Linked DNA regions of Daphnia pulex. The protein of the gene in region 3 interacts with the protein of the main gene of each other region in a pairwise test. Links are inferred from orthologs where the notes say so. Each region holds a gene or a part of one and is shown on either strand. Other genes may lie near its edges.

Region 1 (10,548 bases), on a different chromosome or scaffold from region 3:
AATCTACAAGGCCGCTTCCACGTCGATGCTGCACTGGTTACTGGCCATGAAGAATATCGACGGTGAATCGGAAATGAAGAAAGGCCATCGACAAATCAGCCAAGTCGCACGCCAGCAATTCCCATCGATTGATTACCCCGCCGCTGCCGAGGTAATTAAATAATTAAACTACTTAAACTAATTCAAATTAAATCGTTACACAATTTGCAGTTGATGAAAGAGTCCAAAAAGTGGATGGTGGTCCGCCATCCATTCGAGCGAATCCTGTCGGCCTATCGCGACAAACTGGAGAATTCCACCATCCACCGAGAAGATGGCACGCTCCATTTCTACGAGAAATACGGCCGCAAAATCGTCGCAAAGTACCGCGGGAAATCTCCAAAGGAGCAGAACGACGGTGAAAGGATCGAACCGACTTTCCAGGAATTTGTCGCCTATTTGATCAACACGGATTTAACGCTCTACGCCGACGACCACTGGATTCCTTACTATCTCTTCTGCACTCCGTGTCTCATCGATTATGACGTCATCATCCAGTTTGAAACGCTCCAGGAGGACGTCCAGTTGTTGCTCAATCTCCTGGGCGAAAGCAGCGGCCCACTGCGCAAACACTCGACGACACTCGGTCGATCTAAAACGGAATTGATCAAATCTTATTACAGCCAACTCGACCGGGAAACGATCCTGAAACTCTACGAAAAATACAAAATAGATTTCGAATTGTTTGGTTACAGCATCGACGGTTATTACCTCTCTACTTAATGCAAATAAAATCTATTTATTGAATAATTCCACGTAAAATGTAATTCATTTCCGTGTCGTTGAAAAAAGGACCGATAAACAAATTTTTACACAACACGAAGGACATTTTGCTTTTAGACGCTTGAAAAAAGAGACAAAATTTGAAAATTTATTTTTAAAGTTTTTGCACGATATCCCCTTCTCCATCTCAAAATAGTTTTAAAACATTTAGACCGATGCATTTGTGAGAATAAACTTAAATTCTAAAAAAAAAATTGATATGACTCGATCCCGAACGAAACGACCCAAATAAAGTGGGGGGGAGGAGGAATGGAATGTGGGTTTGTGTGTTTTCACGCGTGAAAGGAAAAAGAAAAAATGCCCTCTTATCTTTAAATTTACTGAAGTAGATCGACTTGTCGATTAGTCACAGACGAATTAGTCGCATTATCTTGTAGATGCAAGTGTTGGAAAATGTCACTCAATTGGTGATTATTGTGACGGACGGGTAGTGCTGGTGACTGGGCAATAGGAGCCACTCCTGGGTTGCGGAGTCCTTTACCCTGAGGTGAAAGCAATTCGCGTTCAATCGTCTCCAAAATGCTGTCGCTCGTCGTGTTATTGGTAGTGGTGGTGGTGACAGGTACGGCGGTGGCGGATGATGATGGATTTAAAAAGAAATCCAAATCTAATGTGACTGCCGCCTCGGTGAAACTTTCACTCATCGACGCCGATGGCGAATTGACGCTGGGTGGCGAATTCCAACGGAAACCACCGGCATTCCCCTGTTAATCGAGCTCATTTTAAATAACTCTTTGGTAGTGAATGAAATATAAATTAATTAATACCTGGAGAACACTGTCGATGCGGAGTGAGTGAAGGAATCGCTGCTGAGCTGCCGAATGCCTCCAACTAAATGACAGCGCCGGTGTAGAGTCCAACTGACTGACATAAGACCACAAGGAACCGCCAGGAGAATTCATCAATGGAATGGTCGACGATTGTTGTTGAAGTTCCGAGTCGGTGGAGGCTGCTGAATTGACCGGAAACAAGGTCGTCAACATCCGCTGGATGTGAGTTTCAGGTGTCGCCGCTGGCAATTCAACTACCGGCGCGCTATCCGTGCAGGGAGCTGCTTCGAAATCATCAAATTCGTCATCATCTTCTGTAGCCACAGCCTCTAACGTCGCCTAAATTAATTAAATTAAATTAAGAAATAATTTCAACTAATAAATGAAGTAAAATCTAAATTTTTTTACTGTTTGAAAATCGGTAAAATCTCCAAATTCTTCGACGTCGCCATCATCGACTGGTAAGTCGATCGGTTCCGTTTGAAAATCTGAAAATTCCGGCTCGGCCGTTTCCACATTTTGATGAAAAACAAATTCGTTTTCATCCTCTTCTTCTTCTTGGTTTAATATTTCTTCTTCCACCTTGACGACGTCATCCAATGGGTTCATTTTATCCACATCGAAACAGACAGTCGTTGAAAGTGGATCAACTACTTCCAGTGGTTCATCCCAGTTGATTTGAGGCGAATCCGTCGAGTCACTCATGGCGGCAAAGTGGGGCTGTTCCATCTCGTCCTGCTGATCGAAACACAGACTAGAGACTCCCGGAGAATCCAGCGTGAAAGGTGGGACGGCGTCTAAACTGAAAAGATCCTCCACAACAGGTGGATGATTTGATTCAGAAACTGATGACGCCTGTGTGAAATCACCAAAGTCATCATCGACTTTGGAGTTTGTCAATTGATCCAGTGGTTGCAGAGTAGGGGGTAATTCTAATGAGACTTGTCCCAATGTGGAGAAGATTTCTTCAACAATCGGATGAGGAGTCTGCTGGATGGGTGAGAACACACTGTTGATTGCAAGAGGTTGACAATTTATCGGTTCAGCACTAGTAAAGTTTGTAAATTCTTCTTCCTCTTCGACAACTCCATTAGACTCGTCTTGCTTCTGACTGATCCACGATAACTGGGACACTCCTGTTAAATCTTCCTCAAGATCAATGTCATAATTGGGCTGGCATTTTTTCAGACTTCCTTCTGGTGGAAGGCTTATATTACTATTACTATCAGGTGTAGCAGGCACAACCATGGAAAACTGTGAAGCGTTTGCCACAATAGGTCCACAAAAGTCACCAAATTCATCATCAATGTCACTACTATCAGGAATGGGATTGAAGAAGACACTGCTGGTGGGCATTTTGGTGTTGCTTGATGGATGATTCTGCACAGGCAAACTGACCTGAAAGCCAGGTTCCCCGTTGCAATTTCCTGCAACGAAATAAAGAAATTACAAATTCAACGCCATTGCTTGCAAGCCATGTAATGTTCAATATGTATACCGATTGTGGGGTACGTCACAGCACTTGTGAAATCACCAAATTCATCATCTTCATTACTAATATCATTAAAAGGGTTTTTCAACGGGCCGGAATACGAAGGAAAGGCCATGGCTAGTCAGAATATTAAGCAGTGAGAAAGGGAAATAACACTGTGTGATGTGAGGCTGCATTAATGGGTCAAGAAACTTGCACGCATATACAGTGGGATTGAACGAAATCCTTAAAGCACAAACTATTTTACGAAGGGTAACAATTAAAATTTTCCATTATCAAGGTGATTCAGGTCATCGTTTTTACAGATTAATATTTTCCTTTTTATTCGAACAACGGGAGAATTTTCGTTCGACTTTTACAGACGAACGTTTAAGGGGAAATCAGCTGACAGGTATTGGCCTCAATTTCATCAAGCTCTAATAATTCAATTAAGCTTAAATTATAAATTAAACATTTGAAATAGGCTAAATTTTTAATTCAAAAATTAATGATATAATTTAGATAAATATTTGAGAAAAAATATTTAACCGAAAATGATAAAGATTCAACCGTTAGGTGGCCCTCTAACGTTGGAATGCGCCCAAAAGTTTTGTTTTTTCACCTCCGGCAAGGGGGTTTCAAGTGGAAAACCTCGTCAAGTGTGTGTTGATTCATCAAGATTCGGAAGCTCTACTAAATTTGTAATCGTTTCACAATTTACACAAGTCACAACGGAAATGTTGACGAAGAAAAAGGATCCGAAAACTTGGAATTCGAATGGAACTACGACGGGGAAATACCTAAAGAAAGAAGCGCCTTCAGATGTGCCAAGTAAATACATATAAACCAGTTTGCATACCGTTAAAGAATGTTTTGGTCTAGTTAACAAACGGAATTCTTTTGTCATTACGTAGTCATCAACGTCTGGACCTCCACTAGAACTGTTGATGCTTTGAAGAGCAAGTCCCAGGCAGCAAAGAAGCTGAGCGGCTCGACTCAAAGTTTGGAAGTAGTGTCCAACATAAAACATGGTGGCAAGCAGCAAATTCAGCAGGGTTACGAGGGAAGGTACATACCTGCCAGCGAAGTCAAAGCTGAGCAGCAGCAACAACAACAGCAGCAGCAGCAACAGCAACAGAGTCATTTGGTAGGTAGACGTTTGTTTGTGTGTTTAATGGTGATTTGTTTACGGCATGTTTGCTTGCATCGGCACCTGGCTTGAGTGAATGTTCACATCCTTGTTTGTGTTGCACGGCTTTTGCCCCCAAATTAGTCTGTCTCCTTTGATGAGGCCTACGCTGATTACGCCGAGGTATCAGAGAGTGATTCACTCTCACTGGCAAGAGGCTTGGGCCTTGAGGGGCATATTCTGATGAAACCGGGGTCTGAGCAGTTCCCAGCCAACTCTCCTTTATGCCACCAAAATACCCAGGCCAATCCACTGAAACTCGTTCTGGTTGATCCTGATTCCCAGGTATGGCTTTCCTCATTTTTGCTTTTCGTTTGTCTTTTGTTTGTTTGTCTGCTGGTTCGCACACACTCTCTCTCTCCTTGGTCTGGCTGGAAATGAAAGAATCTTTTTCCTTTTTTTATTTTATTACAATTAAATAAATTCGACTAATTGTTATTTTAATTTTTGAACAATTTAGCTCAGCTCAATGCAGGCAGCTGAACAACAACAACAGCAGCACATTTATCCACTTTATCTCTCTGCTTCTGCACGTGAACAGCAGCAACAGTTGTTGGTCTTGCAGCAACAGTTGGCCCAGTTGAGGCTCAGCGTCCAACAGCATCAACAACAACAACTCCACCACCAACAGCAGCAGCAACAACAACAACAACATTCTCCCACCTACGCCAACATCCCTCTTTTGCTTTCCAGCAGCGTCAGCGCTTCCCAGTCTTCGCTGGCCAGTAACAGCAGCTCCCAACAACAGCAAGAGAATCCCGTCTATCAGAATTTGAGTAAATCGACGACCGCAGGAGCTGCTGGACCTCCAGCGTCGTCGTCGACCAACACGAGTCAGGATAGCGGTTCGGAAGAGTTTCCTTTGCCACCTGGATGGTCGATTGATTACACGTTGCGTGGCAGAAAGTATTACATCGATCACAACACGCAGACGACTCACTGGTCCCATCCGCTGGAGAAAGAAGGATTGCCCACTGGTATAACATTTTTGATTTTAAATAAGGATTTTAATTTATTTTGTTTTATCATTTCAGGTTGGGAACGAGTCGAGTCGAGTGAATTTGGAATTTATTACGTCAATCACACGACCCGCCACGCCCAGTACGAACATCCGTGTGCCCCCCGTTACATCACGTCGGGATCCTCTTCGTTGGCGGATGCACAAATGCGTCCGTCGAGACCGATGCCTCCGGCTCCACGTCACACGGAATTTCACGCTCCACCGCAAGTGCTGGTCCCGGCCAATCCTTACCTGTACGAGGAGATCCCTTATTGGTTGCAGTTTTACTTTCGTGCAGCCCCCGAACACGACCACAAATTGCGGTGGGAGCTGTTCCGGCTGCCGGAACTCGACTGCTACGACAACGTCCTCAAACGTTTGTACAAACAGGAACTGGAGACGATTGTGATGAATTACGAGGCGTATCGGTCGGCCATGGCTCGTGAAATGGAAAGGAGAAGAGCCGAAGGGCACAGCAGACACTTTCCTGCTCAGCAACAACAACAATCACAGCAACAACAACAACAAATGTTGCAGCCTCCTCCACCACAGTCAAGAAGTCACCTGAAAGAAAAAGCTTTGGCTGGAGATCTTGAAACGAAAGTCTAAAACAAAATTTTTTTTTTTTTTAAAGAAGTGCACTTATGTTTGTTTGGGGTTTTAATAAATTGATTGACAGAAGATGATATTTAGGTGAAATTCCATTTTAAGCATAAGTTAAATGGCGTAAATTTCAAATCATGTTTTGGGTTAGAGTAAATCTTTTTGAACACATTTTACCAATTTTTCAGAAGCTTGCATTTCATTGAAAAAAGAACTAAGAAAATTATTTCTGAATGTAGTAAAAGCAGCGAATCATCGTCATCCTGTTGGCAAACACTCCAAGGAAATGCATTCTAAAAAGAATTAAAAATTGAATAAATATTCTGACTTTTGACATAATGCACGAAGTATTTTATGTTCAGGTCAAATGTAAAGAATTACATAGCTGTATGTACCAAAGAAAAAATGCGCCTATGAATCCAACATTTGAAGAACATCTGCGACCTCGTCTTCTTTAAAACGCTCTAAAAGTAAGGAACGTGCAGTCCCAATTGAACCATCAGTCGTCTTTACTTTTTTGTCGACTTTGTGCTGAATTAATATCGAAACGAGGTCAACCAAAAGTTTTTTAGGCGCATAGTAACACACGAAATGAAGAGCATTCCATCCGTTGTTGGTTTTGCAGTTGACGTCGATATTTTTCTCAATTAACAATCGGACAATGTCGATCAAATTTCCTTTGTCGTAATGTCGACACAAGATAAGGAGGGCATTCCACCCGTCGTTTTGTTTGCAGTTGACGTCGATATTTTTCTCAATTAACGATCGGACAATGTCAATCAAATTTTCGTTCTTATAATGCCAACACACGAAATGGAGGGCACTCCATCCGTCGTTTTTTTTGCAGTTGACGTCGATATTTTTCTCAATTAACAATCGGACAATGTCGATCAAATTTTCTTTGTCGTAATTTCGACACACCAAAAGGAGGGCATTCCATCCGTCGTTTAGTTTGCAGTTGACGTCGATATTCTTCTCAATTAATAACCGGACAATGTCAATCAAATTTTCGTTCTTATAATGCCAACACACGAAATGGAGGGCACTCCATCCGTCGTTTTTTTTGCAGTTGACGTCGATATTTTTCTCAATTAACAATCGGACAATGTCGATCAAATTTTCTTTGTCGTAATTTCGACACACCAAAAGGAGGGCATTCCATCCGTCGTTTAGTTTGCAGTTGACGTCGATATTCTTCTCAATTAATAACCGGACAATGTCAATCAAATTTTCGTTCTTATAATGCCAACACACGAAATGGAGGGCACTCCATCCGTCGTTTTTTTTGCAGTTGACGTCGATATTTTTCTCAATTAACAATCGGACAATGTCGATCAAATTTTCTTTGTCGTAATTTCGACACAACAAAAGGAGGGCATTATTTCCGTTAATGTCCTTGCAGTTGACGTCGATATTTTTCTCAATTAACAATGGGACAATGTCGATCAAATTTTCTTTGTGGTAATGTTGACATAAAACAAAAAGGGGAAACGGATCCCATACTTCTGGGATTTTTTCTTCAACTAACAGGCGTATGATGTCTATCATTTTTTCTTTTGGATAATGTTGACAAACATTCAAAACTGCATCCCACCCCAAAACCCTTTTCGGTTTGTGGTGAACAATGATCGAAAATTCATTTGCGCAAGTTTCGTGGTATTCGTCAAGTGCCGTCATGGCAAAAGCGAATTTCTCGTCGTAAAATTTGGCATTGACTACTTCGGCAAAGATGACTATCTCCTTCTGGATCCGTTCAATGACGGAATTATTTTCACACCAAAGATCTAAGTTTACAGTATTCTTCCGTAATGAAATTTCATTTAAAAAATTCGTCCCGAGCGTCTGATTGAGTTGATCCAAAAAAAGTTCTGAGTGAGCCAAGGAGGAGAGTGAAATTTCGAAACCAAAATCAACTGGAAATTTGGTCATTTGCGTTAGCAGTGTTTTCGCAGAAGGGAAGAAATGAACTTTGCTCTGCTGATTTCCTAATTTATTTTTAGCTTCATCTTGAAATCTTCGGATAATACAAAGTTCCTTGTGTTTTTGATCCAGCCATTGCTCGAGGCGATTGGAATTAAACGTGAATTGTTCATTGCTGATTCGACTCATCAGCTGACTGAAATCTTCTACTTTGATTTTGCCGCTGCGAATGCCGACGACCATTTCTTTCAATTTTATTTTCAGTTCGGCAATGAAAGATGTTAGGCATCGCTGGAACAGTTGGAGCTTCTTTTGAAGTGGATTTAACTTTTTTACTAAAGGGTCTTCAAGCATCAGAACAAGTGTACCTTCCACTTCGCCGTAGTTATCCATAATCAGGACGCATTGAGACGCCAGCGTAACGCTAATTTCGTATCGAAGAGCCGGAGCTCCTTGGGCATCTTGCATCAACACCAACGGGTAGAGCCAAACTTTAATGGGCACGCCAAGCGACTTGCTTACATCCGCATCGTCTTTTGCCATCCAATCGGATGAAAATTTTAAGAACTTTTTGGCGAACTCGATGGCTTCATTGTACGTTGTTGGACGATCCACGTTACTGGGCAGTTCGAAATCGCCTTGAAAATGACATTCGATGCTATCCTCGTTCTCTCGATTTGTGTCGGCCCAACTACCTCCAACATTTGCGTTCCCTTTAAGAAATTTGGTAAATTTATCGACATCTAATTTCAGCTTTCCGTTGACTTCTTGTTCGTTTTCTGTTTCGCTTAGTTTTTTGGTGAACGTGAACGTAGCTTCAGCACCGTACTGGATTTGTGTAACGATGTGAGTTGCGGAGCCGATTCTACCGCTTCTTTGAATCTGTGGGTAACGCAAATTACTCTCATCCAAATGTTCCATTAGTAATTTCTTGGCTGCGGTGCGACACTTCAACTTCACATGAACACTCGATTGGCGACTGGTACTTTTCGTCTTGTCGAGATAATTTGCCGATCCGCTGAGCTTAATCATGCCACTTAAGATGCTGACTTGTAGTGACCCGTTGACTTTCAGTTCTTGGAATTTGTCGGTGAGTTTGTCTGATGCAATAATCGAAAAATCTGTGTAGTCGTTCCTGGTGGACTGGACGTTTTTCAGATCACTTCCATTCCAGAAAGTATAGCCTGATAAAAAAAAAACAAAAAAATTGGATTCATGATGAGGTGTGCGGAGGTGTGCTCTGTCTCTATAACTGCTAGTATAATATTAAAAACATGATTTTTTTATAAACGAGCTATTTAAAAATTAAAACGTTTCTTCGATTTCATTTCTATTATTAATAATGTGGACATTTATATAATGTGGCCATCAACTAATGTGGAGAATTAGGCCTATAGGGCTCTTTCGGATCTGTTTTATTTAGCCGATTTATCTGGCAACGCAGCATGGCGCCGTCTCTTGGTAGGGCGAGAATAGGGAGAATGGGAGGACGCCCTCCTCCCTCCCATTCTTCCTCTTCTCCCTGTTCTCGCCCTACCAAGAGACGGCGCCATGCTGCGTTGCCAGATAAATCGGCTAAATAAAACAGATCCGAAAGAGCCCTATACTGCGCTATACTGCTCCATTGTCCAAACTGATTTCAAAATAATTAGTTGTATGAAGTCTAAAAAACGAGAACAATAACGACAAGCTCAACCAGGAAGATACTTTTATTTTAATACTTACCGGGAATAGTTTCATCCTTGATTGCATCGTAAACGGTACCCAAATCGAAATGTCGCCCAAGAGCGAGCATTTCGAACGTTTGTCTACTTATGTCACTGTTCGACATTTCATTGGATATTTTAACCCTGTAAGCGTAATTGAAAGAATTCGTTAGTGAAGTGAACATTGGGTAAAACATTACAAAATAGAACTATAATAGGTATATTGTTATGTGTTTTCTCACTCAAACGAAAAGAACTTTTGTAACTTACGTATTAAAAAACAGTTTCTAGTCAAAGTATTTCAAGGTCTCCAGACAGATGACAGTGACACATGTAGAAAAAGTCTCAGCAGTTCCAATCGTCTGCAGTATAGGATTTTATTTCTATGTGTATAATAATTATATAATAGTTATACTAATATTTATATACCTGTAAAAGGAATTGTGAACCTCGATTGATCGGTTGTTTCTGAAAGAGTAGCCTAAACGTGAAAAAAAAATTAAACGAAAGAGTCAAGTGACTCAGTTACACAACCAGCACGCAGCAGCGAAGCGTAGCAAACACAACGAGAAGGCTCAATACCAGACAGACTCTTGATGAAAATAACTTTGGAACGTCAACATGTCTGATAGCGTGAGCTGTTCTTTTCGTCTGCAGCACAGCGGGATCTATTTCTAGAAATGGCGCAATAAAAGCTCCATCCAAGCATGGTAGAAGAGGGGATGGTATGTTCACGTACTAGAATTTTCCCATAAGGCTAGATCCTCATCGGTTTTTCAGGGTTTTTTTTTCAAAGTCCTTTGCCATGGTAAATGGTGCTGCCACCAAACGTAGCGTTACTGAATCGTGTTTCTTGAATTTTCCTTCCAGAAACGGCTAATGATTAAAGGTCTTTTTGAGTTTAAGGCAAGATGGAAGAGCGACGAGAGATGAAAGAGAGACTTAAATACATTTTTTAAATTTTCGTTTTTTTTTTTTATATTTTAAAAGCAAAATTGATAGAACCTAGATTCTGTAAAAAATACGAGTTTTATCACATTTTTTATACAAAATCTTAATTTGTTTTG
Region 2 (10,595 bases), on a different chromosome or scaffold from region 3:
TATAAAAGGGAGGGGGATTTAGCAATTTGATTTGCGGTTCAAAAACGGTGGGGCAGAGTATTCTTTGGACACTGTGATCTAGGGGAGACGGCAGCAACATCGCGAGATTCAGTTCCTAGTTGTGGAACAGTCGGTTAATACAGCATCAGAAGCTGTTGCTACGTCGAAACCGAATGGAATTTTGCTGCCTTCATTTTTTTAACAATTTGAAGCGTGTGCCTTTTAAAAACGTAGAAGGGAAAAAAAAGCTTTGTTTTGGTTTGGTTGGTTGGAACCTCACGATAAGGTTTTTTCAGTGAGGATAATGGAGCGTGAATCGATCACACAAACGTATACACTCGTTAATTAGACATAGACGGGCCCGTGATTGGCTTCATTATCATCAGGATTCATTCGAGGGTGACCGCCATCGTCAAAAAATCGTCTGAAAGTAAATTCAAAGAATGCGTGGACCGGGTGTTTTCCGTTATCTAGCGTGTTGTCCATCTTATCTTCATCCGCACTGTTCCGCAATTTGTCCGGCACGATCGGATCAAAATTGGACGTGTCAGTAGCAAAACGAATTTTCGGGATATAGGGAGCTGTTTTGCTGCGAAGGCCGCCCTCAAAGTCAACACCGTTGAAGAAAGGATGCGTCTTCAGTTCACCGGCACCACCCCTACCGGATCGTTGGTCGGCAGACGTACAAAGACGAACAATCAAATCTGCAGCTTCCGGTGACAAGTTGGCGTAATTAGGGATCTGCAACGTAGTCGACCAGTTGATAACCTACAAGGAAAAGTAAAAACATTAAACACTTGAACACACATTGGTTGCGAATAAGGAAAACAGTACCTTGTACTGAGTTTCAGCGGGAGTATTAGCCATAAAAGGTGGCTGCCCAACCAACATCTCATACAATATGACACCAACGCTCCACCAGTCGCAGAGCTGGGTATAGCCTGTACGTAGGAGCACTTCCGGTGCAATATAGTTTGGCGTTCCAACCAGCGAGTGTGCCAAGCAGCGTTGGTGTTCGCGACGTCGGCGTCTTTCCAACGTTTTCAGTACAGGCGGATGACCTGTAATGTGCGTTGTGCCAAGAGAGTTGCAATTACCTCCGACAGCATTATTACAACGGCACTCATTGGTCCAATCTTCTCCCGGATCAAAAGAATCCTAACATGATTAACAAGAAATATGTCAATATCGCTATTAAATATTTAGCTATTTTAATTTGTAGTAGCACGCACTTGTCTTGAATGATCGCCGTTGCGTTGATAGTATTTTGAATTGTGCGTCCAGCGGAAACCAGTACAAAGCCCAAAGTCAGTCAATTTAATATGACCGTCACGATCAATAAGAATGTTGTCTGGCTTGATATCACGGTGAATAAAACCCATTTTATGTACGCTTTCCACAGCGCATACTAATTCAGCTATATAAAACCTACATGACAAATGAAACATTCAGTAATTACGTATATTGAACGAATAATAACTACTGATTGCTAACCTTGCAAGAGGTTCTTCAAAGATCCCGAGTTTGATTAGAAGTGACATCAAATCGCCACCAGGGATGTAATCCATCACAAAATACAAATTATCCTTGTCCTAAAGTGCAGAAAAAAACCTATTTTAGATTGAGCGCACTAAGAAAAAGTTTAATAAAGTTATACCTGAAACGAGTAGTAGAGCTTGACGACCCATTCATTATCGGCTTCAGCCAAAATGTCTCGTTCGGCTTTGACGTGAGCCACCTTAACGAAAAAGTATGTAAGTAAGTGATTAAAAAAAATCTATTTTTGTGAAATATGTAAAATCAAATTTACCTGATTGCGCTTAAGAACATCTGTTTTCCTTAACGTCTTCATAGCGTAGAGATGATTATTGGTGTCAATCTTACGTACTAAAGCCACTTCACCAAATGCTCCCACTCCAATTGCTAAAAAGAAAATACATATTTCTTTTAAAGGTTCAAGATTAGACAAATCTATAATATTCACCTTTGATTTTCAAAAACATGGCTTTGTTCATCTTGGCTCGCTTCAAACGGATGTAATTAGATTCCTTTTGTGATAGCATCCGCCTCATCTGACATTGAGCCTCCTCAGACAAACCAATCTTTTTCATCTCAGTTTCCAATTGCATGCGACGTTCCATTCGCTGTTGATGCGACTTGAGAAGATTCTCAACGTGCTGTTCCATGAAGAATTTAAAGGCCTGGATATCGCGATAAAGAGATAAGACGATTGCAAATCTACACCGATCTGAGCATTCTTGTCATACCTGGGGTGAATAGTTGCGTACGCTAGATTCTCGCCTTTCTTCTTCCCTTTCTCGTGAGATATGTTTACGTTCCGGGATGGGTGACTGATGCGTCAACTTGTAAGGGGGAGGCGGAGGAGGTGGCATGTCATCTTTACCATCCTCCCCATTGGCACTGGACGGTGCACTATGGCCATTCAAATCGTTCTAAAGAAAAGTAAAATAAATTAGTGTCATGATTCAAGAAAACATAGATATGTCTTTCAAACTGAACATACCTTAGTGCTCATTCCAAGTCCCGAATCTTGCGTTCCCTCCGAAGGTGCAGATGAAGAAATAAAACTCACTGGTGATTGGCTCGGACCGCCATGGCGTCCCGAATCACACTGCGATGCTGCTGAAGACATTGGACTCTCAGAGCGCGAAGATGGAGTCTCAAGAGTCAATGGTGAAAACCGGCGCTGCCCCGGTTTTGGAGGTAACTGAGCGTGAGGTGAACCCTGTGATTCTACCTGCTGAGCAAGTCCAGTTCCACCATTTGCCTATGATGAGAGCATTGCTAAGTTTTTGCATAAGGCAGTCGATCGATTCAAGCAATAATACCATAGAGGAAGGATAAGGTGGGGGCGGCGGAGGAGTTGCGGATAAATTATATCCATTGACGGCAAGGACATTCGTGGCGTTAGTGGGGGTTGTCCCATGCTGTCTTTGAGCAGCCAAGGCCTGGAGAGGAAATCGAATAGAGTTCAAACGGGTTCGGTAGGGAATGGAGAGTTATTATATCATACCTGCATGGTCGATGCATAACTTGGTGGATCAGTCGTTGGGACGCTGACCGGCGCCGGACTGCTAGGGATTGGAGACGGCGTGCTGGCAAAAGATAGCGGACTTGGAGAGGCCATAGGAGCGTATGATGATGGTGAAGGACAGCTACTGGATGCATAGCCGGAAGAGGAATAAGGAGGCGGAGGCGGCGGAGGCGAGGCTGAAACGGCCGGATTTGAACGGACCGGGATAGGCGGTGGTGGAGGTGAACTTGATGATTGAGGAGGACCTGACGGCGCTACAGCTGTTTGCAGTATCGGTTTCTGAACCTGATGATTGATGAAACAGTAAAATAAAATAATTTAAAAAATCGGTATTGATTAGTGTCATTTGAGCTGATTTATACCTGCATGCTTTTGACAGTGATGGGTGGTTGACGGGGTGGCCAGGCTTGGTTGGGTGGACATCTCCCCCCGGCTTGAACTGACGACGACGAGGTCGGTGGTGGGAAGGGAGCCGGACTTTTGCCAGTTGGGCTGGGAAGCGTCGGGCTTTGTCGGTTAGATAATCCGCTATCCGGTCCTCGATAAGGCGGAGGAGGAGCCACTAATTTAGAAGCTGATCCGGTGGGATACGGAGGGGGTGGAGCAGAAGACGGTGGCAATGGGCTGCTGCCATTGCTGGATTGTTGTTGCTGTTGGTACATGTTTAAAGCTTGCATCTGCTGAGTCAGCTGAGCTTGTGCTTGGGGTCCATTTTGAACGACGAGGGGCGGAAGCCGACCGGGCGGAAGAGCTGGAGCCGGACTGGTCCCACGGGGTCCCGGAATAGGTGGTGCATTAGGCACGGGTGACATTCGTTTGAGCATCTGTTGAAAGTTGCTAGGATAATGTTGGCTGTTTGTTGATTTAGATGCAGCCGATGGAGGTGGGGGCAAAGGAGGAGGTGGCGGAGTGGCACCTCGAGGCGGCGGTGGTGGAGGTGGCGGATCTGACGACGACGGGTAGGCATTTCTTGACGAATAAGGCGGTGCTTCGGGTGCTACGTGACCACGAACGAGTCCCAGACCATTAAAATAGGCTGGGCTATCAGAACGGTTAGATGAAGCGGCCGAACTGGTATCAAAAGCCGGACTGCTCCTGGGTTCTCGCTCAAAACTCGGTTTCCGGTGTACCTGCTGCCCCGATGAAGGCGGAAACGCTCCTGTGAGGAATGCAAAGATAACCGTTATTGCGTGACCAATTTATTATTATCAGCTAGCGGATTTGAAATCACCCTTGAAATCTTATCAGAAAAAAATATTGACTGCGTGACTCACCTGTCGTAGCGGAGCGTTGCAGAATTTGGCCGTCGGACCGCTGTAAGTAGCCGTCGCTTCCATTTTCATGCTGAATCAGAAAAATAAAAGGTTAAACGAAGTCAACTTTCCTTCATGCCTCTACAGCTGTTTATTTCTATTCTCGACTTGGCATTTCTAATAAAAAGGGCTCTTTTCAAGACAGCCATCAAAAGAAAAATTCAATTACAGACGATATGGAGGAGGAGGCCAGGGACGAGTGTATAGTGAAAGCGGGTCTAGCTATCGGGTTTCTAACAACCGTTCAAGAATGCCAACAACTCCCTCTTTCTCTTTCCAACCACCTCATCCGCCCCAAAAATAGCCCAGATTCGGTTGAAGGCACACACACATGTGCAAGAGTGTAGACCATCACCAAGATGGAACGAGGGAGGGCTGTCAAATAGCGTACGCCATCAGTAGCGCAGCCAGCACAAACAGACCAACTGGCGGCTCTCTGCTACACACCGACAGGAATGCAATCCCGCAAAAACGAATAGATCCGGTCGAAACCCGAACCCTTATTTTCTTCTTTTCGCTCTGTGCGGCCATTCAACAGGCGGGTATCGATAATGTAGGCCATACAATGTCTCCCGGAATGTGTGCGTGTGGTTTGATGGAACACATAGGAATTCCGTCTACTAAGGTGCAAGGTCAATGAGGCGTGCGTTCGGAATTCTGGAGCCATTCGTCACACCGTCGCTCTTTCTCTCTTTGTGTGTCCTGTTGATGGTTACGAGTCCATCTCTCAAGCCACGCTAGTCAATCAGTATGTGTGATATCAGTTTTTGGGGTGTTGCAACGGTCGTCTAGTCGTATAAAAGAGGAGCGCCTCCAGCACAGGCATATGCCACGAACCATCTGCTCGGTCCATATCCCTCCCCTTTCTTCTTGTTTCTTCCGCTACGACACGCCAACCATCATTTTCGGGTGGCCGCTCTCGGCATTCTTTTTCGACCCAACATCGAAGAAATACTTGGCGCGGTAATGGACTCCCTCAGGCGCGTGCTCGGTTTGCCATCACCTTCATAAATCTCTTATCTGACCGAACTCTCTGAGGTTCATTACAATGCGAAAATTTCAAAACAAACACAATCAGTAACCTCACAGTCGGACGCAAAAATTCCCCTGAAACGCCCCTCCTTCCATATATACCTGATGGACACTAGACAGTACGGGGATTTTCAGATTAAGAAAAGGAGGAAAAATTTAGAATAAAAAAAACGACAACAAAAAAACGACCGTTTGTCCGGACCTATCCGACGGCATAACTTGCCCTTCCTTTTGGCCGGAAGAATGCCAGACTCGTAGGAGAATTTCATTCCTATCATTGTTGCATCATCACATGCAATGGTACATAATTTTCATGGGCAAACTAATCTTGACATGAAACTACTGCAACTGAAATATCTGCACAACCTAACAATCTATTCGTGTTACATGAACTGTACTTAAAGAGTATGGTATCTCATAGAAAACATAATACATAGACAGCATAAGAGATTGATATAAGTTACCTCTATGTATCCAGAAGAAGAAGTCGAATAAGGGTAAATGTGTTGTTGGTAGGAAATGTGTCCATCTTTAGGTATGGTAGGCAGAGGACTACCATTCTCGGTGGCAAAGGGTCTGAGAGAGTTGCGAATTTCTTGCAGGGCTTTCAAGTGATAGCCTGTCCGATCGGCTTTTCCAACTGCGTTGCTCATGCTAGTTTCAGCTCCAGGGCTCATACTGGCATGCCCATAGTCTTTAATGAAACTGACATGGCCAGAAAGCTGCACTGATCCACATTGTGTCACTCACTGTAGTACTCATAAATTGACGAGTTCATTCACTTTGAGAAATTTCATCCAAGGTCAGGGTGTGCAATAATCACAGACCTGCAAGATCAAACAACAGAATTAAAATTTACTAGAAACACATTTTGCAAAATATCAACAGTCGTGAGTCACGCAGGTCTAAACTAATCACAACACGAGAAAGAAAAAGAACCATGACTGTAGCCTCCAAGACTGTTTGGCATTTTCCGCCATCTTGGAAGAACTTTTTTTTTTAGAGCGAGCACAGGACGGCCCCAAAGAAAACTCGAGTTTTTACTGACGAAAGATTTTCAATTTTTAAAAGCACTACTACTTACTTGAACGGTTATCCATTAGCAATAATACGTAGAACAAACATTAAAATTTCGATGCAACATTAAGTCCACACACGGACAAAACAACATTCGTCACGAAAAAGCTCGGAATAACACTGAAGCCAGCGCAGACTATAAGCCTAGTTGCCCCTCTGGCGGTTTCACTTTGAAGAGAGAATTTTACCTCAAAGGCTCCTTTAACTCAAACGCTGAGCGTGATCCTTTCAAATCCTGTTCTCTGAATAAGTTTTATCAACCAACTGTTTCATATTTCTCATCTAAAAGATAAACAAAGGTTTTACGATTTCACAAATAAAAATTCGTTTTTTCACGTGAATACAAAATTTCAAGGGCATTGATTGAGAGCGTCCCCTTAGCGGAGAATGTTGGTACTGAAGCAGACGATAAAAACAGAAAAGAAAAAAAAACAACGAGGAGTTGATTTGATAGACGCTGTTGTGTGTTATTCATTTTCAATTTCGAAATTTCTTGTTTCGAATTTTTCCACAGAATTCCTGATGTCCAACAATACGAAACGAATAGTCCCATGGATTTCCATGTAAAATTTTATTAAGTTCTATAATACTAGAAATTGTCAAATAGGTTAATTTACGGTTAACATTTAAAATAGAAGTCACGTGGTTCAAATGCCAAAAGCTAACGTACACGTACATGTTAAATGTTTCGTACCTAATTACCTATGCTTTTATTATTTAAATATTTATTTTATAACTATGAAAAGTAGTTTGCTTGTTATTCATGAACAATTGTCTTTAGGGAAGAGTGGACACGGGTTTATCAACAAGTGTACTCTAACAAAATTGAGGAGAGATGGGCGGGACTGAATCAAATGACAATGTGGAAATCTAGGTAATTCATTTATAAAATGATAATTTTGATAAACTAATTTTTATTTACATTTTTTATTAGGGTTGACAAGCTATCTCTAGGTGTTGAATGCTCTTTGTATTTGTTACAAGCAATTTTACGTGATGAGGAATACAAGATGGATCCTAACAGTGCCCTGTCTGAAAACGATGTGGTTTTAATGTACTCCACTGCCATCATTAGGTAACTCTTACTATGTTAAGTTACATGTTTAAGTATCTTTCAATACTTAAACCTATTTAAATCTTTGTTCACAGGTTCATCAATTTGATATCTCATTTAGGACAAGTAGATTTAAGACATCAACCCATATCCGCCATTGCCGAAATGGCAGGGATTCCCGACTGGCTTGTCAGTATTCGGCACGAGGCTACCCACGCCAAGATGCCTTCTTTGGATATCTTGAGGCCAGGTATACATACCGCCTTTCTACGATAACTCTTAAATTTTAAAAATTCTTCATCTCAAATTTTTTTCTCGAATTTCTTAGGCGCCAACTTGGCTATGGATTGGTTGAAGGTAAAGACACTTTTTTTTCTTAACTTTCCTTTATGCGCAGACATGAATGCAAATTTAATAATAGGAAAATTATTGGCGTACCGAAGAAGAAGATAGCTATGATCTTTATTGGCCCGAGTCCAAGAGGGCCACATCTCGAATGATGCTTGCCAAAACGAAAATGGCAGAGGAAGGGAAGAATACGGGTTCGGCTGCCTCCAAGCATGCAGTAATACCTGAAGAATTGCAACTAGCCGTGTCTATGCTAGTAGTGCTTCTTAAGGAAATGGGCTGTCGGAATTCTTTCAATGAAATTCAGTCGCGAGACCTTCACCAGTACGCTTACGAACTTTGGCTCCAGACCAAGATCCCTTCCACTCCTTTGAACAAAAAGGAAATTGCCAAATTGGCAATACCGTTAAAGAAAATCCTTGCATTAATATTTGATGAAATCAAACGGATATTGTCTGAATGGGTGGAAACTGATGGGGTTGAGGGAATTGAACAGACGGAAAAAGTCGACGCACTCAAAGGGAAATGTTTCATCTCAGCTCTCTGTCAAAGTCCCCATTTATTGAAGAAACCCGAAAAGGGCACAATTTTCTCCAACCTTAAACCCATCTGGACATTGATTCAACAATGGCAAACGGTTCCATACTTGATGAACAAGTTAGTCACCATCGAAGTTGAAGATGATCAGCAACAACGAGTATTCTTGAGTTTGATAGGAGACATGACCAATGCTGTGCTGCATGCCCGAAATAATCCTGAAAACGAAAAGAATGTATTCAAATTCGATGAAGGTTTGCGTTCTGTAGATTGGGATAAAATGACACATGCCATTCTTCTAGAACCTCATCCGGAAACCTGGAACACTGTATCCAAGTAAGGACTGAAATCCTCTTCACTTGTTGTCGTCGTGCAATTAATTTTTTTTTCCCTCAATTTGTCGTTTGTTTAGAGTCTTTCTGTTATATGATCCGCCTGTAAATGCAAAGAAGAAAGAGAAAGTGGCCGCTTTGTTGCGACTATATTTGGGTAAAGACACTTCTGCCGAACCTTCAGAACGTGCCGCTTTTGGCAAGTCCACGATTCACTCCAAAATCTTCACTGCCGCAATGTTGAATCCACAGAATGAGAAACCCGTATTGAAAAGGGACTCGGGCAACCAACATTCTCAAGACAACAAATATTCAGCTGACCAAGCCCCAGTGATCGATGAATGGACCTTGTGTTCAGGTATAATAACCTTATCACATTTAGCAACCGAAACTTTTCAACCAATGTTTTATTTCATTTTCTGTTTATGGCAGAACACGATTGGTCACGTGTCCCTATTGGTAGCCTTCCGAGTATCACGACTGATAAGCTGGAGTTGGAAGGAGTTGACTGGGAACTAGTTGAAGTAGAAGCTAGCGATTGTAATTCAGATCGCATCGTGAACGGTACAAAACGAACTGGAGAGCGATTCGATTGGAATTCTTTACTGCGCAAGCGAAGACGAAGAGGCGGCCTGACCAAAGAAGGTCCAGTCGGACATGTAGCGAAAACACAATAAATTAATTTTGTACGCAAATGTGTATCGATTTTAATTCAATCAAGATGGGCATAATACATTGTCGAAATTTTTTTAAAAATAAGTAAACAGGAGAAGGAGAGAGCCAAATTTGTAGAGAACGAGAGAAAGACAGGGTGAAAACCCCTCATACCAAGTATATATAGATAATTATATAGACTTCCACGATACACAGTATCGTAGTAAATAAAACTTGACCCAAAAGCGGAGATTTTTCCAGGATAAATAAACGATTATAGTCTTGATCCACGGAATATACAATGCCGCTTTCAACAAGGATTGGACAAGTACTGAACTGAGCTCTTCGACGCTCTCGTCAAGTTCAAGACTTGAAAGAGCCAAACATATGGAAAGAGGCAAACCAAACTGTCAAACAAAGTCACTAAACAAAAGTGGCATTCACATTTAATGGCATTTGACAGTCCACGGAGGAACTTCTCTTCAGGACGATCTTGAATCCCCAGCATCGAATACTGATGTCGGGGAACAGACACTTGAAATAGGACGCACATACTTTTTGACGCATTTAATTGATGCCGATCGACCTAATTGTCTTTGGGGTACAGTGCCAAAATGGCAGCGCAGATTTTCTGGGCGTTTGTTTCGTCAGGCATCAGTGACATCACTTGTCGCACCTGCTCTTCAGGAAAGATGGCAGCCAAGTGATAAAAGAGCTTGTAACGTGCTTCGCTTTTACTGTTGGGCCCGTTCTCGTTGAAGGCTTGCACCGGCGATGAAGACAGGTGTTGATGAGCTGGCAGACTGGAAGTTCGGCTGGCCCAAGAATGTTGTTGTTGATGCATGTGTTGAGACGGCTGAACGGGTGGTAATGGCGGAGGAGGAGAGTTGGTCCATTCGTCAAAAGGATCTGTCAGACCCTGTGAGCTCCAGTCTTGCGAGCCGGGCATGGCCGCCGACGCAGCAGCAGCAGCCCCGTATAAATTAAGTTGTGTGTCGGATGTGCTGTTCAGTCGTTGCATGTGATTGTTGGATCCTGCGGGTTGCACATGTGGATGGGAGCGAGCGTGAAGTTGAGACGTTGGTGCCGGAGCGGATGCGTTGCGAGTGACGATCGAATGGACGGAAATGGGCGGAGGCGGATAAGGCGGAGCCAAGCCCTTTAAGGTGTACAATCGCGGATCGCATGCTGGG
Region 3 (10,492 bases):
GCACGAATTATAAGAGTAGCAGCATTTCACGTTGGCCTGGTAATCAGGACACAAGTTAGAAATGTAGGTCGCACCAGCACAGCAGTCCTGAATAGAACACATTTATTATAACAAATTATGAACTCTTTAATTCTTTCATCCAATCTGGATAGACTCTCATTAAATATAATAGTAATGGCTTCCTATTGATCGTACCGTTTGGAGGCAAATGCCTCCGTCTTTTCCACTAGATGCGGTGCTGTAGCATGGCTCGTTGTTATCTCCAGTGAAGCCGGAAGCCGGGTTTACTGAAACTATATAATAAATACGTCAATTGATAATTGGGAAAAGTGAACGCAAAAACTTTTTTTTCCTGGCTGCCGTTTGTAACTTGTAATTAAGCAAAAGTCTGTGAATACTATGAGGCCATACTACTTTTCGTTATAAATTATAGCCCACAGGCAACACAATCCCCAACATTGAATTTTATGTTTTGCTGAAAATGTCTACTTACAGCAGTGGGCAGCAGCCACCAAGGTAGTTAACGCAAGAAGTAGTTTCATCATTTTGAAAATGTTGCACTGAAGAAAGTTCGAGAAGTCCTTTTATATAACGTACTAACGTGTGCGTAGTAGAGTATTATCAAAAATAAAATCTCGTTCATGTCTTGAGATATGACTGGCAATCATGACATTTGACTGCGTTCGATTAGCAGGGGACACGCAAGTTTATGGACTCGACAGTTTTATCGGTGTTGTAAAGCCCATCATAGTAGAATCAACAAAGTACAACACAGTGTTTACAAAAGTGTAATTATTGACACCTTCTTTATGTTACACGTTTGAGATATGGCGAGAAAGTGGAATTACCAACGACCTGCCAATGACGTTCACGTGGGCAGTACCCCTTGTATGACTGGGAATATATAATGACCCGTGTAAGGATCCGTAAGGATCGCTCATGTATGAATAATACAGGTTCTAAACCTGAGTGGGCTCTTATGTAATTCCACCGAATTTGAAATTTGATCATAATTGTGAAATTCATTCCCGGATTATGAATAGGTTGTTATAGCTTGACAAGAGTGATGGTGACGAAAAGAAAGTCGCCCATTGATTTATTCGGATCTAATGACCTTCGTCGTTCGACAAAAAGTTTCTTGTTCTTTTTGTAGCATTACGCCCATTCTTCCCTAAGTTTTCATTAATTGGTAGGGGGGCAGGTGAGAAAACGAATATTTTTCATTCCACCACTTCTACCTGCGCCACCAATTTTCCTTTTTTCTTCTTACCCATCCCCATACTGAGTTAGACAATGCTGCAGCAACGTATTACAGCCAGTGATGTTTTTATTGCACGGTACTGAACAGTTGAAATGTCTTGACCTTCTTTTCATATTTAACAAAATTTCTAAACAGCAAAAGTGCATCCCATAGGAGTTGGACGTAACACGCCCCTCATGCATCATTCAAAAAAGTCAAGTATATTACCTTTGTAACGTTGAGGCTTATAGAGTAGACTGTTAGATATAATATAGTGACGTCAAGGAGGCAAAAAAAAAACGAACAAATAAAATGTTTACATTTTAAGCTCTCCAAACTGTCTGGAACAAACAATAGTTTACTTTAGCTATTAGCCTTTTTGACACCTTATTGACATAGCGTCATAGCATTCTCTTGTTTTCATGTGATAACTTAATCAATAACTTTGTATGTCTACAGCAGTCCCTCGTGAACTCAAACTCGCAAGGCTCTAGCGTTTATCCGTTTTTAATTCTCCGATGGCATTATACACATCGCCATATTTGTATTGTTTTTAGGTTATAGCTCACGTATTTTGAAAATGAAGTTCAAAGTATTACTTAACCAGTTTTAGCTTGTTTCACCTTTTGATATAACAATTTAAAAGATGTAAAAGATTAAGGCGATGACAATATCCAATTACTAAAGTATACAGAGACAAAGAAGAAGTTGGGTTGTACTTTTTACATCACCGCTGGATCCGACTGGATCAGCAATCACTCGAGTTATTGCATCAGGGAAAAAAGGATAAGAAAAATTGTATATGCCTACTATTTCTATACTGTGCTGTTGCCTAGCGACAGCAACGAGTTGTCAGGGTAGCTTTTTTAATCTTTTACAGCACATGACTGTTTTGATCCTAACTAGATGCTTTGATACTGTTAGGACTACTTAGGAAGGCGAATTACTCTTGTGTAAATACACGATTAGCTAATGCAGTCATTAAGAAGTTTGCTCGCAGTTTTCCTTGAATGTAAATACAATGTTTAGCATGAAGTGGCGCTGCTTTTCCATAACATACTCAGACTCCTGCTGCACATTTCTGATCTTTATAGTCAAGAAGCGCCCACGACTACTCGTTCTGTTTCATCTTTCACCTGCTTTAGTAAACATTTTGATTATCAAAGGATGTGGCGCATAGTCCATAACGACAACAAAGTGCGAGCCTATAAGTCTATAACCATGACAACACACGGAATATACTGTACCACTGTACCTTGTCATAATACGTGATTTAAAACGTAGCTACATTAGTAGTCTGTAAATAATCGTTAGCTGTTTGTTTGAGAAATTTCATCTGCAACGTTGCTTCTGCTTCGTTAATTAGAAGAGAATTTGTTGATTGTGGCAACTATCTTTCAAGTTAAATAAGCTTACAGGCTTACATCACGGCCAGTAGCTCTTCATTAAGTATACCGGCCGGCATATTATCTTGATGTAAATTAGCAGAAGTAAAACGTGAAATTGAGTTGCAAGATAAGCTCATAATTTTTTGGTGCTACTAGGATAATTATTTATTTGTGCTACTAGGATAATTAAAAGAAACTTTGTGCGGATTAGCATGGTCTATTTTGTTGTTGAAATAAGTTTTCAAATTTTCATTTTCTTTATTTTCACATTAGGCTAAAGTCGCTAAACAGCTAGCAGGTAGCAGCTGTAAAACGAATGCTGTCGTCTGCTGTAGGATTGTGTATTTTTGAATTTCGAAGAGCAATTTCGGCTTATCTACTTATATTTATTTTTAAAATGTGTTGGTACTTACTACTTATACTAGGAATTTGGACTTTCGTTTCCTTTTTCACTTACCGATATTTGAGTCAAAAGAAAAGTTTGTTTCTTAAAGAAGTTTTCTTTAAAAAGCTTAGCAATGTCTTGTTCGTCATTGCTCATCCGGACGACGAGTATGTTTTGTTAATTGAGATATACATTTTTATGGAATACCTTAATCTAACTTTTTTTCTCTTATGCACTTATGAATGCATGTATAATAGATGCATGTTTTTTGGACCTGCCATCACAGCACTAGTCCAACCATCATTAAGTGATTCTTCGTCCAGGAAAAAGAAAGCAAAGGATATTTACATTCTTTGCTTGAGTGATGGTAAATCAATACTACATATCACTATTACTATACGCTTACATGAACTATAGCTTTTTCTTTGGACTCATATACTTGTCTGTTCGTTACTTGTGCTTAAATTCAAACGTTATAACAATATTTCTAATGTGTGAAATTCACTATTTCAAGGCAATGCTGATGGCTTAGGTAAAACAAGGAGAGAGGAACTAAAAAAAAGTTGCAAGATTCTTGGACTAGCTGATTCCAATATTATAATTCACAGGTAAAAATTCATTCAAACATTCATAAATTGTTGAAATTTCTTAAATTTTCTTAAATTTCTACATTATCTGTGAACAGTGGACCTCCTTTCTTTGAAGATGATCCACATTCTTTGTGGGATTTCAAATCAGTTGCAGATACTTTGAATATCTACATTGAAAAATTGAAAATTGACAGTGTAAGTATTTCAGGAATAGATTAATAGGCTTAACTAACAATACAATTTAATGCAATTTTTTATAGCTCATAACTTTTGATGAGAATGGAATCAGTGGCCACCTAAATCATAAATCGATTTATCAGGGGGTGTTGCAATTAAAGAAAGAAAGCAAAAAAAGAGGTATTTAAACTATATTATAGTGTGCATAATTAAATGTATTGATATTTAAAAGATCGTCTTTAATTTTTCCAACAGTTACTGTCCGAGTTTTCATTTTGGAAACGGTCAGTTTGTTTCGAAAATATTTGGGATTTATTGATTCGATTTTAATCAAACCTAGTGCATTAATCTGTACTGCCGATTGGGTTAATAGGATGAACATTCAGGTATTTTTTTAAACAGTTAATAATGTCAATTAAGACTTTTGCTAAATAAATTAATTATGTGTTCACGTTTAGAGAGCAATGGCAGCTCATGCTAGTCAATATGTTTGGTTTCGCCGTTTGTACATCATTTTTTCAAGATACTTATTCTTTAACACATTCATTCCCCTTGAAATTTACTAGCTTAGCTACTGCTTGTTGTCTCAGATATGCACCTGGAAGTGCGGTGGTTGGAAAATTTAAATCCTATCGATTCGATGCATTTTGGACACGGGTAAATTTACTCAGATTTTTTTGATCCCTTCAATTTTATGGATGTTTATAATTCCCTTAACAAAATACCTAGTCTTTTCTCTGGAGTGTGTAACATAAACAAAAAAGGGTATGTTGGCTCTTGTTTTTTTTTCCCTAATGAATTCTCACACGTGGCTGCTGTGTTTAACTTTATTGCATTTACTAAACAAAATTTAAAATATTGATGTTATCAGATGTTAGTGGTTGAAGTCAACAGTGCACGTAATGTATTATTTTTATTTGAATGAAAATGCAGTGAACAATAATACAATTTTGAAATTCGTCATACTCCTACTATACATGTATTCAACTATTTTCTAAAGCATGACATTTACGCTGTAATTTTGTGACGACCAGACATGAAATGTTTCTTTTTATAAAACTGAAGAAAAAAAAACGATTTCCCGCCAGTAGTTTCATGTTGTCCCGCCAGGGTCCAGATGGCTGTGCACTGTGGCAATAGTCAATAGATGGAAAATCCCATCGTCTGCAATCAAGCCTGTTTTTGTTCATTTTCCGTTGTTTTGTATCAGCTGAAAGAACAGTATTTGTTAATTCTGTGTTGATTCTACAAATGGAATGAATCAAAATGAAGACGTTTTCTAAGTTTTATAAGTTTTTGCATTAGATTTGTTTGATTAAGTTTAGGTCTCGGTGTGCTAAAATGAATTTCCGCCGGAAGCACAAATCGTCAAAATGTTTTCCAGTAAAAATTCTTACCCTAGACGCACAACTTGAATTCAACCTAGAGGTTTGTATTATTTATTCACATAATCATGTTCATGTAAAAAACTGACAATTATAACTCTTGTAGTGCAAAGCAAATGGAAGAGATTTATTTGATCTAGTGTGTCGAACTATTGGATTAAGGGAGACCTGGTATTTTGGGTTACAGTATGAAGACTGCAAAGGATTTCTGGCGTGGTTGAAAATGGATAGAAAAGGTGAGTGTTAATGCTTATTATGTGTCATTCACCTAATAACTGTTTGTATGGCCATAATATCTATAGTTCAGGACCAAGATGTGCCCAAAACAACTCCTGTGCCTTTTGTATTTTTGGCTAAGTTTTATCCCGAGAATGTGGCTGAAGAGCTGGTTCAAGAAATAACTCAACATTTGTTTTTCTTGCAAGTAAAGCAGAGTATACTCAACATGGATATATACTGTCCTCCTGAAATATCAGTCTTGCTTGCTTCATATGCTTTGCAAGCCAAGGTAATATTATTATATCTTGGGTGATTTTCCACAATTAATTTTTCCTTCCCATTAGTATGGTGATTATGATGAGGCAGCCATGAAACCTGGTCTCCTTGGTACAGAAGACTTACTGCCTAAGAGAGTTCTTGATCAGTATCAAATGACAGCTGAAATGTGGGAAGAAAGAATAAAAATTTGGTAATAAGGATCATCATTTCCATTTTAACCGTTTTATAGACTTAAGACTTTACTTTATGTTATATAGGTACGCGGATCATAAAGGTCTCAGTCGTGATGAGGCTGAAATGGAGTACTTGAGAATCGTACAGGATTTAGAAATGTATGGCGTTAACTATTTTCCTATAAAAGTGAGTTTAGAAACCCTAGCTAAAACTAAAATGCGTGTATATCTTGCATATTGTTAACTTGTTTTAATCTACAACTTATTATTCTATTTGAACAGAATAAAAGGGATTCCGAGTTGTGGCTTGGTGTTACGGCCCTCGGTCTGAATATTTACGAGCAGGATAACAAATCCGTACCGCGCATTAACTTTCCCTGGTCAGAGATCCAAAACATCAGCTATGACGACAAAAAGTTTGCCATTAAACCAGTCGACAAAACTGCACCCCCTTTTATTTTCTATTCGGATAAGCATCGAGTCAACAAATTGGTAATCCATGATTTTTACATAAATGAAAAAGGATAGCGAATTTTATTTCCGCATTTTTATGTCTAGATCTTAGATTTGTGTATTGGAAATCATGATCTCTTTATGCGTCGGAGGAAACCGGATTCAATTGAAGTTCAGCAAATGAAGGCTCAGGCTAAAGAAGAGAAACTCAGGTAAATTTGACCTTGACAAGTTTTGTCTTATTCATTGTTGAGTTCTTATTGTGGTTACTTTACCGTTTTTCAGACGACAGAGTGAAAGAAATAAGCTTGCACGAGAGAAGCAACTACGCGAAACAGCTGAACGTGAAAAAGCAGCCCTAGAACAACAGTTAATTCACTTTCAGGAAGAATTCCGTGTAGCGAACGAACAGTTGGTATGATATTCTTCAGTTTAATTTTTAGTTTTAGTATCAAGTACAGTATTTCATTATACCAATTTTGTAGAGGCGTTCCGAAGAGTCGGCTGAGCTGCTGGCCGAAAAGGCGCGAGTTGCAGAAGAAGAGTCAATGTTGTTAACTCAAAAAGCCTCAGACGCTGAACAAGAGTTGCAAAGAATTCGTTTATCTGCCATGAAAGTAAGTGAATTTTTTCATAACTTATTTAGGTAGCTTTACATTTAATTGTCTTTTTGCGTCTAGACCGAAGAGGAAAAACTTTTGTCTCAGAGACAATTACATGAGGCGAAGCAAATTGCCTCAAGGTTATTAGAGAATTCTGAGCGTTGTGCAGCAGAAGCAGAGCAGCTAAAAGGTGACCTTTTGCAGGCCCGTTACGCTGAAACTCAAGCCAAAAAGAAGCTACTAGAGTTTTTAACAACACAAGCTAGTGTTGCAGCCTTACACTCGGCATCTCGTCCAATTACACGCATCCCGTCGTCCGCGTCTGTCCTGGTACTTTGCAGTTTCTGTCAACATTTTAATGAGCGAATAACTACAATTACCATTTTTCAGTCTGTTCCCAACTTGTTTCCGACATCAAGTTCGTCGGTAGCTGGATCAGACCACCATTTACATCATCAGTCGGACATTCAGCAACATTTACGACGACTCGACGATGTCTCTAACGAAGCAAGTTTGCCGGCTTATGAGGCCCGCCTTCCTATTCCGCTGGCTAATCAGCTTACTGGCCTCACCAACTTAACTGGCTTAAGTAGTAGTGGATATCTATCAGCTATTGCTGCTTCCGAACTGGTCAACTCTTCATCCAACTATGACCTTATGACACATGGCGATATGGAGCAACTCTCACTTGAAATTGAGAAAGAGAGGTTGTAAATCTATCGTAGGAATTGTTGCGTAATTGTTTGCTCATTTTTTAAAATAAATTTAGAGTCGAATACTTGGAAAAATCGAAGCAACTGCAGGAGCAACTGAGAGAATTGCGTACAGAGATTGAAGTCTTGAAAGTAGGTGAAAAACAAACGCTTTACGATCAGCTACACGAAGAGCAACTCCGTTCAGGGGACGACAAATACTCAACTCTCAAAAAGGTACGCATGAATGAGAGTCATTAATTCAAATTTGAGTTAATTTTTCTTTTTTTCCTAGTCAAAATCTGGATCGACTGGAGCGCGCGTGGCCTTTTTCGAAGAGCTGTAGCTTAAGTCATATTTTTAATTTTACTTTTGACAATGTGTTGTACATAAATTTTAAATTGGCTGACCATTTTCATGGATGCAACTTAGTTTATAATCTTTAATTCACTAAGTTGCCCATTTTCGTGAAATCTTATCATCATAGACATTAGACAAATAGACTTTCATTTAAAAAAAACTTAACTCTTGTTGACTAATGAGTAATGTCTTTTACTAGTAGCAGCATCGGCGTTGTTTACATTCTTATATGAATTTTGCAAAATGAACCTGTATGTCTAGAATACCAATTCAATATGAACATGGAAAAGTTTCATTCAAATTCAAACACAAAATGCAGAGAACCGAGAAAGATTAGATAATTCTTCATTTCAATCTGTGAAACGCAAAAGTTAACAAATTCATTTCGAAAAAATGTAAATATTTTTTGCGCGCAATGTTGCCAGTTCATCTATTAATTTTGATTTTTCTTTTACAGCATTCTTGCAACGTTGTCTTAACAACGAAAGCATTCGTTTTTTCGTCGGCTCGTCAATTTCCACATTCGTCGCCATCCCAATTGTTGTGCTGTCAATTTGTAAATGATTTAATAAGTGGCAAAATATCCTATATCATCATGGATGAATTAGAGAAACTCGAACACCTGTCGCTTGTTTCTAAGGTGTGCACAGAATTGGAAAACCATTTGGGACTCAACGATAAAGATCTGGCAGAGTTCATCATCGCATTGGCCGAAAAACACAAGACCTTTGATGAGTTCAAAAGTGTAATGCTGGAGAATGGCGCCGAGTTTTCAGACTCTCTCATTGCAAATTTGCTTCGTCTTATCAAACACATGAAATCAGCCAACTCGAAAACAACTGATGTGAACTTAGCCCAGGTAAAGAAAACAGTTTACAATGCAGAAACAGAGAAGAAACGGGAACTCTTCCCTGGTCTTGCCTTAGCAGATAACCCTAAGGCAAGAACAATGCTTCTCGAAGACATAAAATTGACTATTAAAGATGTTGAAGAAGCTAACGATTTAATGGCTGAACTAGAAGCCATGGCTCCTAAAGAAGAAAAGATTTCTACTGAAGCAATCGAGCCTGTTCAGGAAAGAGCAAGGAGTAAAGACAAGAAGGAAAGAAGCAGACGTTCAAGAAGCAAGGACCGCAGCAGAAGATCAAGAAGCAGAGACCGCAGCAAGAGATCCAGAAGCAGAGACCGAAGTAGAAGGTCAAGAAGCAGAGATCAAAAGAGGAGATCAAGAAGCAGGGACAGAAGTCACAGGTCCAGGAGTACAGATAGAGGAGATCGAAACAGAACAAGTGATCGTCATCATGATAAAAGAAGTAACGAAGGCAGACGAGAATCCCCAAGTCGAAAGAAACCTCAAAAAGATTTTCCAGAGAATCCAGAAGTGGGAAATGTCTACGCGGGAAAAATCATGAATCTTGCAGCTTTTGGTTGTTTTGTACAAATTGAAGGAATACGGAAAAAATGTGAGGGTCTAGTGCACATCTCCCAGTTGCGACGAGAAGGCCGTGTGAATAGTGTGGCTGAAGTTGTCAATCGTGGAGATAAGGTTCATGTCAAAGTTATGAGCATTGCTGGCCAAAAGATCTCTCTTTCTATGAAAGATGTGGACCAAGACACTGGCGAAGATTTGAACCCAGCTCCTTCGACGTCAAGCCGCCCTGGACTAACCAGCCAGGAAAGTGAAACAGCTTTAAGGAATCCAGATCGACCTCTCTCATTGCTAGATTTGAAGGCAAATGTAGAGGAGGATGAACTAACCAACCGCAAGCGTGTGCAACGGATTTCGTCTCCTGAACGCTGGGAACTGAAGCAAATGATGGCAGCAAATTGTATCGACAAAATGGACTTGCCCGAATTCGACGAAGAAACGGGTTTACTGCCAAAGCTGGCCGAAGACGAAGAAGATATCGAAATCGAGTTGGTGGAAGAAGAGGCACCCTTTCTTCGAGGTCACGGTCGAGTGCTTAATGAACTTAGTCCGGTTCGTATCGTCAAGAATCCCGACGGTTCTCTAGCTCAAGCCGCCATGATGCAAGGCGCTCTCAGCAAAGAACGCCGCGAACAGAAAATGTTGCTCAGAGAAGAACAAGAAGCAGCTGACGCACCGGCTCAAGGCGCCAACAAGACCTGGATTGATCCCATGCCGGATGCTGGGGCTGCACCGTCAACGTCGTTGGGTCGCGGAACGGGAGCCCCTGTATACGACATGCCCGAATGGAAAAAGCACATCACTGGTGGACCGAAAGGAGCCTCTTTCGGCAAGAAAACTAGTTTGTCCATCGTCGAGCAACGTCAATCACTTCCCATCTACAAACTCAGAGATGAACTGATCAAAGCTGTCAATGACAACCAAATCCTAATTGTCATCGGTGAGACGGGCTCGGGAAAAACTACGCAAATCACTCAATATCTATCCGAGTCCGGATTCACGGCTCGTGGAAAGATCGGCTGTACGCAGCCTCGTCGTGTGGCCGCCATGTCCGTTGCCAAGCGAGTTTCGGAAGAGTTTGGTTGTCGTCTAGGACAGGAAGTTGGATACACGATTCGTT

What was found.
Region 1: the proteins of merlin-like (region 3) and scaffold protein salvador-like interact in a two-hybrid assay, tested with the Drosophila melanogaster proteins (2 studies listed by BioGRID). The link is inferred for Daphnia pulex from reciprocal best matches to the Drosophila melanogaster genes Mer and sav.
Region 2: the proteins of merlin-like (region 3) and serine/threonine-protein kinase Warts-like interact in binary tests that used the Drosophila melanogaster proteins (3 or more experiments, as listed by UniProt). The link is inferred for Daphnia pulex from reciprocal best matches to the Drosophila melanogaster genes Mer and wts.

The regions. Positions count from the first base shown.
Region 1 is NC_060028.1:81,712-92,259, forward strand, and holds scaffold protein salvador-like, read left to right. Parts: upstream 1-3,666; 5' UTR 3,667-3,800; coding exon 3,801-3,894; intron 3,895-3,977; coding exon 3,978-4,210; intron 4,211-4,336; coding exon 4,337-4,537; intron 4,538-4,712; coding exon 4,713-5,229; intron 5,230-5,286; coding exon 5,287-5,861; 3' UTR 5,862-5,933; downstream 5,934-10,548. Other genes in the region: carbohydrate sulfotransferase 11-like, read left to right, coding at 1-151, 211-762; uncharacterized protein LOC124209131, read right to left, coding at 1,140-1,526, 1,590-1,931, 2,001-3,019, 3,091-3,199; uncharacterized protein LOC124209127, read right to left, coding at 6,267-8,959, 9,501-9,606. UniProt on the Drosophila melanogaster protein: Plays a key role in the Hippo/SWH (Sav/Wts/Hpo) signaling pathway, a signaling pathway that plays a pivotal role in organ size control and tumor suppression by restricting proliferation and promoting apoptosis.
Region 2 is NC_060026.1:6,946,430-6,957,024, reverse strand, and holds the start of serine/threonine-protein kinase Warts-like, read right to left. Parts: upstream 6,834-10,595; 5' UTR 6,485-6,833; intron 6,228-6,484; 5' UTR 6,078-6,227; coding exon 5,865-6,077; intron 4,400-5,864; coding exon 4,330-4,399; intron 4,215-4,329; coding exon 3,418-4,214; intron 3,341-3,417; coding exon 3,035-3,340; intron 2,970-3,034; coding exon 2,850-2,969; intron 2,789-2,849; coding exon 2,525-2,788; intron 2,454-2,524; coding exon 2,268-2,453; intron 2,202-2,267; coding exon 1,985-2,201; intron 1,924-1,984; coding exon 1,811-1,923; intron 1,739-1,810; coding exon 1,658-1,738; intron 1,593-1,657; coding exon 1,495-1,592; intron 1,429-1,494; coding exon 1,233-1,428; intron 1,159-1,232; coding exon 835-1,158; intron 769-834; coding exon 346-768; 3' UTR 1-345. Other genes in the region: uncharacterized protein LOC124206172, read left to right, coding at 6,865-7,040, 7,259-7,351, 7,412-7,552, 7,627-7,781, 7,860-7,888, 7,953-8,752, 8,829-9,106, 9,181-9,425; probable ribonuclease ZC3H12C, read right to left, coding at 9,989-10,595. UniProt on the Drosophila melanogaster protein: Negative regulator of Yorkie (Yki) in the Hippo/SWH (Sav/Wts/Hpo) signaling pathway that plays a pivotal role in organ size control and tumor suppression by restricting proliferation and promoting apoptosis.
Region 3 is NC_060022.1:2,536,981-2,547,472, reverse strand, and holds merlin-like, read left to right. Parts: upstream 1-4,901; 5' UTR 4,902-5,121; coding exon 5,122-5,208; intron 5,209-5,271; coding exon 5,272-5,401; intron 5,402-5,467; coding exon 5,468-5,673; intron 5,674-5,728; coding exon 5,729-5,853; intron 5,854-5,920; coding exon 5,921-6,023; intron 6,024-6,118; coding exon 6,119-6,328; intron 6,329-6,394; coding exon 6,395-6,501; intron 6,502-6,574; coding exon 6,575-6,704; intron 6,705-6,774; coding exon 6,775-6,906; intron 6,907-6,969; coding exon 6,970-7,221; intron 7,222-7,281; coding exon 7,282-7,598; intron 7,599-7,660; coding exon 7,661-7,820; intron 7,821-7,878; coding exon 7,879-7,929; 3' UTR 7,930-8,239; downstream 8,240-10,492. Other genes in the region: uncharacterized protein LOC124195655, read right to left, coding at 1-87, 196-293, 494-545; N-acetylglucosaminyl-phosphatidylinositol de-N-acetylase-like, read left to right, coding at 2,945-3,180, 3,271-3,380, 3,528-3,621, 3,699-3,798, 3,864-3,960, 4,036-4,166, 4,239-4,346; ATP-dependent RNA helicase DHX8-like, read left to right, coding at 8,539-10,492. UniProt on the Drosophila melanogaster protein: Regulator of the Hippo/SWH (Sav/Wts/Hpo) signaling pathway, a signaling pathway that plays a pivotal role in organ size control and tumor suppression by restricting proliferation and promoting apoptosis.